Daphnia pulex: one gene and its partner. The protein of the gene in region 2 purifies or fractionates together with the protein of the main gene of each other region. This does not show direct contact. Links are inferred from orthologs where the notes say so. Each region holds a gene or a part of one and is shown on either strand. Other genes may lie near its edges.

The links.
Region 1: the proteins of PHD finger protein 14-like (region 2) and high mobility group protein 20A-like purify together in Homo sapiens (affinity purification with mass spectrometry; 3 studies listed by BioGRID and IntAct, counting the BioPlex papers as one, with this or other methods). This does not show direct contact. The link is inferred for Daphnia pulex from reciprocal best matches to the Homo sapiens genes PHF14 and HMG20A.

The regions. Positions count from the first base shown.
Region 1 is NC_060024.1:7,607,229-7,611,741, forward strand, and holds the start of high mobility group protein 20A-like, read right to left. Parts: upstream 3,075-4,513; 5' UTR 2,882-3,074; intron 2,640-2,881; 5' UTR 2,631-2,639; coding exon 2,459-2,630; intron 2,321-2,458; coding exon 2,013-2,320; intron 1,948-2,012; coding exon 1,713-1,947; intron 1,397-1,712; coding exon of another isoform or gene 1,239-1,396; exon of another isoform or gene 1,018-1,238; intron 761-1,017; coding exon 545-760; coding exon of another isoform or gene 486-544; exon of another isoform or gene 447-485; intron 188-446; coding exon 45-187; 3' UTR 1-44. UniProt on the Homo sapiens protein: Plays a role in neuronal differentiation as chromatin-associated protein. Acts as inhibitor of HMG20B. Overcomes the repressive effects of the neuronal silencer REST and induces the activation of neuronal-specific genes.
Region 2 is NC_060017.1:6,219,330-6,223,758, reverse strand, and holds the start of PHD finger protein 14-like, read right to left. Parts: upstream 3,099-4,429; 5' UTR 2,620-3,098; coding exon 2,550-2,619; intron 2,485-2,549; coding exon 2,242-2,484; intron 2,177-2,241; coding exon 2,109-2,176; intron 2,049-2,108; coding exon 1,940-2,048; intron 1,863-1,939; coding exon 1,734-1,862; intron 1,665-1,733; coding exon 1,564-1,664; intron 1,499-1,563; coding exon 1,362-1,498; intron 1,294-1,361; coding exon 1,189-1,293; intron 1,123-1,188; coding exon 938-1,122; intron 878-937; coding exon 645-877; intron 573-644; coding exon 218-572; intron 154-217; coding exon 1-153. Other genes in the region: general transcription factor IIE subunit 2-like, read left to right, coding at 3,492-3,553, 3,620-3,724, 3,786-3,948, 4,020-4,220, 4,281-4,429. UniProt on the Homo sapiens protein: Histone-binding protein. Binds preferentially to unmodified histone H3 but can also bind to a lesser extent to histone H3 trimethylated at 'Lys-9' (H3K9me3) as well as to histone H3 monomethylated at 'Lys-27' (H3K27ac) and trimethylated at 'Lys-27' (H3K27me3).

The DNA of each region.
Region 1 (4,513 bases), on a different chromosome or scaffold from region 2:
GAGAAAACTGTCAGTGTGGCGGGTCGTAGTCAAATCAGAAGATATTAGGCGGAATAATTCAGACGCGATATGATATCGCGAGCGGCGGCAATCAATCCAGCATTTTCAGGCGATCCTTCCTGGATTATGGAGCGCAAATGGGCCATGTAGTTATCCACCGTTTGTGACGTCGGAGTCTCATTATAACCTTGAAAAAATGAAAAGAAACAAAAAATTATTGCCGTTGGTTAAAGCGCTGGCCTTCATCAGGAATCGTGAAGCGTTTAGTTACATATTTCGATCGGATTTACTTTTAAGGAAACCAAATTGTCAAAACCAACTCTGAATCTTGATTGAATGAACGAAGGCTACTGCAAACCCCCTTTTTTTTCTCAAGAAAAGCAAGAATGGTGTGCCAAGAAAAGGACAGATAAAAAAAGTTCAGCGAAAGTTGTCGAAATTCGTACCTTAGCGGCTACTCGATTGGAATCAGATATAGAAACAGGCTAGTATTTCCAGATTTGGTCCATTCTTAAATCTGAATAGATTCTGAAAGTTGGTTCACCTGGAAGGGGCAAATGGGCAAAACTGTTGGCCAGCACATCGCGCAGGCTGTCGAGGTGATGCTGTAGCGCGGCGCTGTGTCGTCGCTGCTGCTCTGTTTCCGCTTCCAGTCGACTGACGGCCGCTTGAAGAGTCTCGACGTGCTTCCGCAGGGCGCTATTCTGCTCCTCGTACTCGGCTGAAGCTTTCCGCAGCTGCCGCAGCTCTGTTTCTCGGACTAAGACGGGGCAGGACCATTACAGGGTTGTCAAGGGTTCAAAGGAATTTCTTTATGATTTGAATGGAATGGTAGTCCAGACAAATTTTTGGTGTCAACGGAAAAAATTCCGATTCTACTTGGCTTTGGCTCAATAGTTTTAAAATAACCAATGTGTCATAATCTTCGGCAACTTAAACAGCTAAAAATCTTACTTGAGCATGCAATTTTGTACTTTTTCATTACCCTAAGAAATCACTACCATCACAATGGCATTGTAAACCCAGCAATTTCTTTTATTCATTCCGTAAAAACTTTGGAATAAGCATAAAATCCCACACTTATTTTTATCACTGAATACACGCAATCTTAAAACATTTCCCCATGAGATATACTCAAATCCTTCAAAGTATACATTGGTGGTTAAAAAGTTATGGATCAAATCCTTTTCACAAAACAATTAAATTTCTTGCATTGAAGAAGGCCTGCACCCCAGTCGCTACACGAGAAAATGACACATCGGCAGCTTAGCTCGTTTAGCATCTACTATTGAATCATTTTGAAAAGCCACATCAAACATAACAGGGTTAGAAGGAAACGGTTTCAAGGTGATGGGTAAGAAGGAATAGCCAGACCCATGCATTGGTGCAATGCTCACTAGATTAAAAATAGGCCAAGATCCATCACACTGCCTACAACTGTAACTTTTCTTTTTTACACGCCTTGAGCGTAGTGTACGGCTAGAAGGCAGTGTGGTGGAGTCTTCTTAACTATAAGAGCCAAAAACTTGTCCTACACAATACATCTTAATTGAGATCCTTCTTTTGTTTTTTAAGAAAACCAGTTTTTTTTAATCTATTTGTTTTTGAAACAAAAGGTCCTTAACAAATCAAATTCTAACTAAATGAACAACATAAAAATAATGCATTTCCATTTCAAACTACACATAGAAATTTTATTAAAATAATCGTACCTTTGTTGTGATCGAGAAATTCTTCCGTGAAGATGGGAATGTCGAACACACCGACTTGATTTCCTGACCCATCAGGACGGTGACCAGCGGCATTGTTACTTCTATCGCCATGCTGTTGATGTTGCCCTGGCTGCATATGTTGGACAATATGCAACTGGGGGTTGTAACTCTGGATTTGTTGAATGTATGGCTGAGCCTGGACTTGGCTGTGAGATGAATGTGCCGCCGGTTGTTGCTGTACATGACGTGTGTTTTTGATAAAAATTAATGTACACAGATAGAAGGAAAAACCAATGTTACCTGTGACTGAGATTGATGAGTAGCTTGCATAGCTTGTCTTTGTTGTTGTTGCAAATGTAATTGTTGTTGAACATGTTGCTGTTGTTGCTGTTGAACATAGCTTTTGTAAGCTTCTGTCTGTTGATATTCTTGCAATTCTTTTTGATAGCGTTGACGGTCCTGTTCAGCAGCTTGCATATATTTTTGCTTTTCCTCAGCAGGTAGTTGAGTCCATTCTTGGGCCATTATTTTCATAATATCAGCAAAACCTGCACTTGGATTGGCAGCTCGTACTTGTTCTCTTCTTTCGTTTAGGAACCGTACATAACCTGCAAAATTAAAAATGTTTAAAATCAATGGAATGCCCTATAAGTAACTGAATAAAGTTGAAGTAAAATCAAAGATGCTCAGAAGCAAATATGTCTAATAGTTAAATTTAGAGTGAACAAGGACAAGAATATCTATACCATTAACAGGTTGACGAGGGGCTCCTGGACCAAGATCTTGATTCCTTTTCCTCTTTTTACTTGTTTTGCCTGCACCTCCTCCTCCTGCACTACGATTTTTAGTGGTTGGTTCTGGATTTGTGTGCTGCTGGTGCATATTGGTTGCATTAGACTGCTGGTGATGACCTTCCATTACTTATACCTGGAAATGTTTACAAATCATAAGTTTAGACCATTAAATTTTGAAACTTAAATATACAACAAGACAAAACGCAAATTAGCAAGCTATCAGGGGGAGGTAAAAGACTTAATAAATTCAACCTAATCGATATGCGTCACTTTTGAACGCCATTAAACCGATGTTGTTGGTGGTCCTATTTACTGGTCAGTTGCACCTCCAAACCAAGATATTTAAGACTTAATATAACGTATAAAACCTGTTACCTCGAAGAGTAATGCATGTAGATCAGAAAAAGGCCGAGATTTCAGATAAATTGTCTAAATTCGGAGGGTAAAAATTCCGACCACGAAAGGCAACACGAGGCGAGGTCGAACAAGAAAAAGCCAAGCAAGCAAGCAGCGTATCACAGCGTATGCCTGGACTTCAGAACCCTCTTCTTACCGGGATGCGCCAAATGAAACGTTGATACATACATGCCTTCTAGCTAGGCTTCACTTTCCCGCCATTTCTGAACATTCTTTATTAAACAAAATTGTCATTCGTTGAAATCTGCGATTTCTTTTTAATTACAAGTTTTCAATGAAATATGTGTTCGAATTATATTGTTAAGTAAAAAGTATAACCAGAAGAAGCTTAAATTTGATTTTCTCCGCGTCAAAAATCACATGTACCTAGATGGAGTGTTTTCGATGTCGAAAACTCGAAATTACATTTGCTAATCGTGAATTTTTTTTTAAAACGGAATATCATCGAATTAGAAATGTGCAGATAAAATTGCAGCTAGGAACAGTAATCATATTCTACAAATGTAATTGAAATCAATCTGCTCCCTAATTTATTTAATTAACAGATAGTCCACGCACATTTTGCTGGCAATTTTAAATAAGCAGCATTTTCGTAATTTTCGTTTGTATTCATTTACAGATTTGGTTACATAACCAACGTAAATATTGTCTTTTATACCATTGCTATTCAGAACTACGAGTAAAAAGAAAGCGAAGATTACCCAATGAAGAAATACATTTTGAAACACGACCTGTGTCATCATTTTATTTCGTAAGCTAAGCAAATAGCATGTAGACACAGCAATAACGCTGGTTATTATACTCATGGTGCAATACCTTATTACCTTGCGATTCTCACGAGCGGAACCGTCTAATATAGATATTAGAATACAATCGTCAAGTTTGCCGGAATTCATAGACTACAGGCGAACGGCAAACCTTAGAGCTTAGACTTCAGAGGATCCGGCTTTATTTTTAAAAATAGAAATAAATTGTAGCTAGTCCTGATCTTCCCCCAACCAGGTATCTTTCCCCCAGGTCAAATTTGTTTCAAGACCCTTTGGGCCTTTGTTCTCCTTCACTAAACAAAAGACACCAGCCGTTCAATGCATTTTAGGTAGACTGACCGCTGCTTGAAATTTCCAATCACGTTCTTTCTCCAAGCTAAGAAAAAAAAAAAAAACTTTACAATGGGCGTTGGACGAAGATGTCTTCATACTCGAGTTGTTGGAATAAATTATGACATATTTTGAAGGGAATAATACATATAACAGTTCGTAACACTAGTTTAAGCCTCATGTACTATTTGCAGAAAACATCTTGATTCAATGGAGGGTTTCATTTTAATTTTAATTTCGAAGGAATTTAAAGGCCATAAAGGAAAAACAATTCTAGCGGAAACCCATGGGTGTTCTACTCAAAATCTTTGAATTTGTTTGTTTGAAAAAAAAAATGAAAATAAACAAAACAACGCACTGATGGAGCCAGTTTTATTTTCAGCACTATCCCATACGGGCCGCATTTTGCCTATAACCTAGAAGAATAATACGTTTACATTTTCATTAGTTTTAGTTTAGTTTTAACTTATAAAGGACTGTATCAGGATTCTAC
Region 2 (4,429 bases):
CCTCCATTCTAGCTTTCTTCTGTTTGTGCACTAAATAAGGCGAGGCAGATTTCATCACTCGCTTAAGAACCATTCGTGGACTCACATCATTGGTGCTGGAAGATCCACTCTGGCCTTCTTGTACCATATTCGAAAAGCGATTTGAGGGCCCCGCTAGTCATAACCATTACTATTATTAATATTTTTAATTACATTTCTGTGGATGAACAAACAATACCTCGAATATCGGCCACCCAGAAATCTTGCGAACTCTGGTTGGAGTTTTCGGTCTGAGATGGAACACTTTCGATGCTGTCTCGATTCGGCCGAATTTTTGAAGGAGACGAAGGTCGACCGGAACGACGCCCACTAGAGGTGCTTTCTTCAATACCTCGTCGTGGACTTGAGGGGTGATTAAAGCCACGCTTGGGAGAAACAGCTGACAGAATGTGATGTAACGTGTTCAATTGATTTCGGTAAGCCGTTTCCCGATTTTTAAGTAAATTCTGCTCCTCAATAAGGCAATCATACCGCAATCGCCATTGCTTTTCACTATCATCCAGTTCCCGAGATTCCTCTTTCATGGAAGTTGTCTAATCGTCAAGATCAAGGTAAATATAACGGAAAAGAATCGAGAAATTGGGGAAAAAAAAACCGCAACAAACCTGTTCCTTAAGTTGAGCAATTCTGCGTTCTCTATCGATGACATAAGCGATAAATTCAACAGAGAAAGCTGGTGGTATGTGCCATTTCTTCGGAAGGTCGGCCAACGCTGATACTTGAGCTTCGCGTACCTCTTCCGCTTCGACATCGACAGCCATAAGGACAGCTTTAGCGCGTAATCTTCTCACGGCAGACGCACAGGTGGTTAGCAAACGAGGCATTTTTTGAGTTGGAACTAAAGGTACAATTGGTTAATGAAGTTACAAAAACAAAGCGACAAGACACTGAGAAATACCCCAACTTGCACGAGGCCAATGTTTTGTTTGGAATTTGACTCGTTGACGCCCCAATTTGCGGAGAATCCGACGCAGGGACACATCTTCACTTTGTCCTGATGTCAACATATCACGGCCAGTGTTTCTCTTGTTGGTCCACCAAACTAGATGTCTCTGATGAGACAAATAATTTTGTTTTCTTCTCCTATAATACAGTTAATAATATATATTAGTTGCTATACGAATATGAATAGCACCATAATCGTGATACTTGATTGTGCTTTTTTCTGTGTGTAGTCTGCAGTTTGCGTAGAATGGATCTGCTTGAACGGTTTCTTCATGAAACGTCTCTGAAAGAAGTCCGTCTCGCTGGGCACTGTAATGAAAACCATCAATACAATCGGAATTTATATTGAAACCATCAAAGCGAAATCTAGGAATTACCAAGTGACGTGAAAAAATGTTCGGCACATTCCGGCGTCGCACCCGATACAGACCCCAGTTCTACTTAACCAAGGATCAGAACAAAGTGAGCACGATTTGGCACCCCATCGAGAATAAGGCATTTCAAACAAGGTGACCTTAAAAATAATTTGAATCAGACAAAAAATTTGGCAAAGAACAAAGCAAAGTAGTATAGCCATACCTGAGTTAACTTGTCTAATTCACCAAACGCAATTCCCGGTGTATACAACGCACAGACTAGATGAACCCAAAGTCCAGTATCTGTCTCTTTGAGTGCTCCACCTAAAACCCCAAAAGTTATTGATTTCTGTTGGTTTGTTTTGTTTTACAAATCCACAACTGATTATTTACCTAGGTTAGGACACATCTGGCAAGGTGGATTTATAACATTTCCTTGGCAAGGTTCACAAAACCATGGTTCTGTTGAGCATGAAGAGGCAGTACTAGACACACTTCCACTTTCAGTTACACCATAGCACCCTATTGTATGGAAAGGTACATTTAAAAATACTATTTTTAAAATAGTCCTAACAAAAAAGAATCAATGTCTCACTAACCTTCATGTACTAATATACCACATGAGTCACATTCTACCACTTCATTTACATCTGAGCTGTGTGTACCCAGGCAAATGCAGCAAACTCTTACTTGTGGTATTTCTGGAGGCTACAAAAAGAATACAGATTGTTTCAAAACTTCACCGCAAATTTCTGGGAATATATTTACCAATTGATAATTTGTAACTTTACATGGGGCAATAGGTTCTTGTACCTTCACACCAGGACTCTTTATTACTAAAAAAGAAAATAGTAAAGAGTTAAATAAGAACGGGTTTGGTTAGTGAAAACAAAATTTATACCTTCTGATAATGGAGCTGTTGATGATCCATTAACATGTGTGCTGTTCTGTTCAGATTCAGATAGTTCCTCACTACTTTCTGGTTCTGATTCATCAATAGAATCGGATGATGAGCCAGATCCTGAATCAGAGTCATCTTCTTCAAGTTTGAAATCAGAGTCTTCTGATTCTGACTCTATTGTCAGTGGAAATAATTCAACTGTTGGAGTTGGTTTGACTCTTCTTTTACTAGGATCACGAGCCACTAAAAATAAACACCAAACTTTATTAGTTGATGATGAATAAAAACATCCACATTTTTCAACATACACATGGTCTTGTACATAAAATTGATATTCGGCAAATCGTCTGGCAATTTTTTTTCTGCATTTTCACTCATGATGGAAATAAGTTGGATCAAACAAAGTTGGGCACACTGGTCCAATTTAAACGAAAAACACTTGTAACTGAAAATCGAAACGCGAGGCTTATTCACTTGGCGTTATCATCGAGAAATTAGATAATAGATTCTTCACTTCAAAGTAATGCATCAAATACATTAACTAGAAGAATCCTAACTTATTCTTATTGATAACACAATTCGCGTTTGCCTCATTTGCCCCAATTGCCCGTCATTCTGCTTTCGAGCCACCTGGTGGAAACTAAGCACTAAAAGTTTTGATTTAACTTTTATACGTCGTTAAATAGCTACTCGAACTTTTTTTAATTCTCAAAAAATTAGAGGAACGCTATAGGAAAATTAAGGCTTGACTTTTTAAGCTAGCAAATAGTCAAACACGAAACATTCCCCCAAAATAACGACTTCGTGTATCGTGTGCAATCCCAGATTTCCCAATAAGCTCAAGTTCACCCACGGGCACTTTGAAAGGGATTCTTGTCAATTCGTAAATTGTGTATGATCACTAATCAATTATTATCAAGTAAACTTAATTTTCAAAGATTATATCCAGATTCCAAGACATTATCAATTACATTTAAATGATTTCCCCATAAACATTTAAAAAAAATTTTCCAACGTTGTCCCCAGCAGAAGCAGGCCAAAGTGCGGCAAAAAAAAAAAATTAGAATTACGAACAATGAAAAGGTGGATTGATTGATGTGGCATTGCTGTATGTGATTGTTATGACGTCTGCTTTACTTGAGAATGGGATTACGTTTTGTTGTTTGATCCAGATCCCATCAGTTTTTTAACAGTTTAGAAAGTTTATTCGTTTTTAATATTCTATATTTAGGCCTAAGCATTATAAAAAGATGGATCCTGCATTGCTACGTGAACGCGAGGCTTTCAGGAAAAAGGCTTTCGCTACGCCAGTGTAAGTATTAAAAAATTATACATTATTGTTAGACGCCATAGAAAGATCATTGCTTTTGCCTTCCAGAGTTGAGAACAAAAAGAAAAAAGAAGCAACTGAAGATGAGACAAAAAAGAAACCTAAACCACCTCCAAAATCCACTGCTGTGGCACCCAGAATTGATGCCACCAAGTAGAACAAAATATTTAATATTTCGTTATTACAGTGCTGGCATAACATTTCTTTTATTTAGCTACAAACACATGTCAGGTAGCTCACAATACAAATTTGGTGTATTGGCGAAAATTGTGAAGCATTTGAAGACATTGCATCAAGATGGAGGTGATCATGCTTTAAGTTTGGAGGATATTCTTGATGAAACTAATCAACTTGATGTTGGCATGAAAATTTCTCAGGTGATATAATATGTTCAAAATATGTGGTTTAAATTTTTGTTTTAACTCATTTACTTGTGTCACTTCAAAAGTGGTTGAGAACTGAAGCTTTGGGTAGCAACCCCAAAATTGATGTGACTTCTGATGGCAGATACATGTTCAAACCTCCTTACAGGATAAGGGATCGTAAAGGCTTATTAAAGCTTCTGAGACAGACTGACTTAAAGGGCTTTGGAGGCATTCTTCTTGATGATATTCAAGAATCCTTACCAAATCATGAAAAAGTTTTGAAAGTATGTATTACACTTTCTTTCACGCCCTTTGAACAAATTTATACGGAATTTGTATTACAGGTACTCGAAAAGGATATAGTCTATATCACCCGACCGATTGACAAAAAGAAAATACTATTTTACAATGATAAGACTGCGCATATGCCGATTGACGACGAGTTTCAAAAGCTTTGGCGCTCGGTTGCTGTTGACGGAATCGACGACAATAA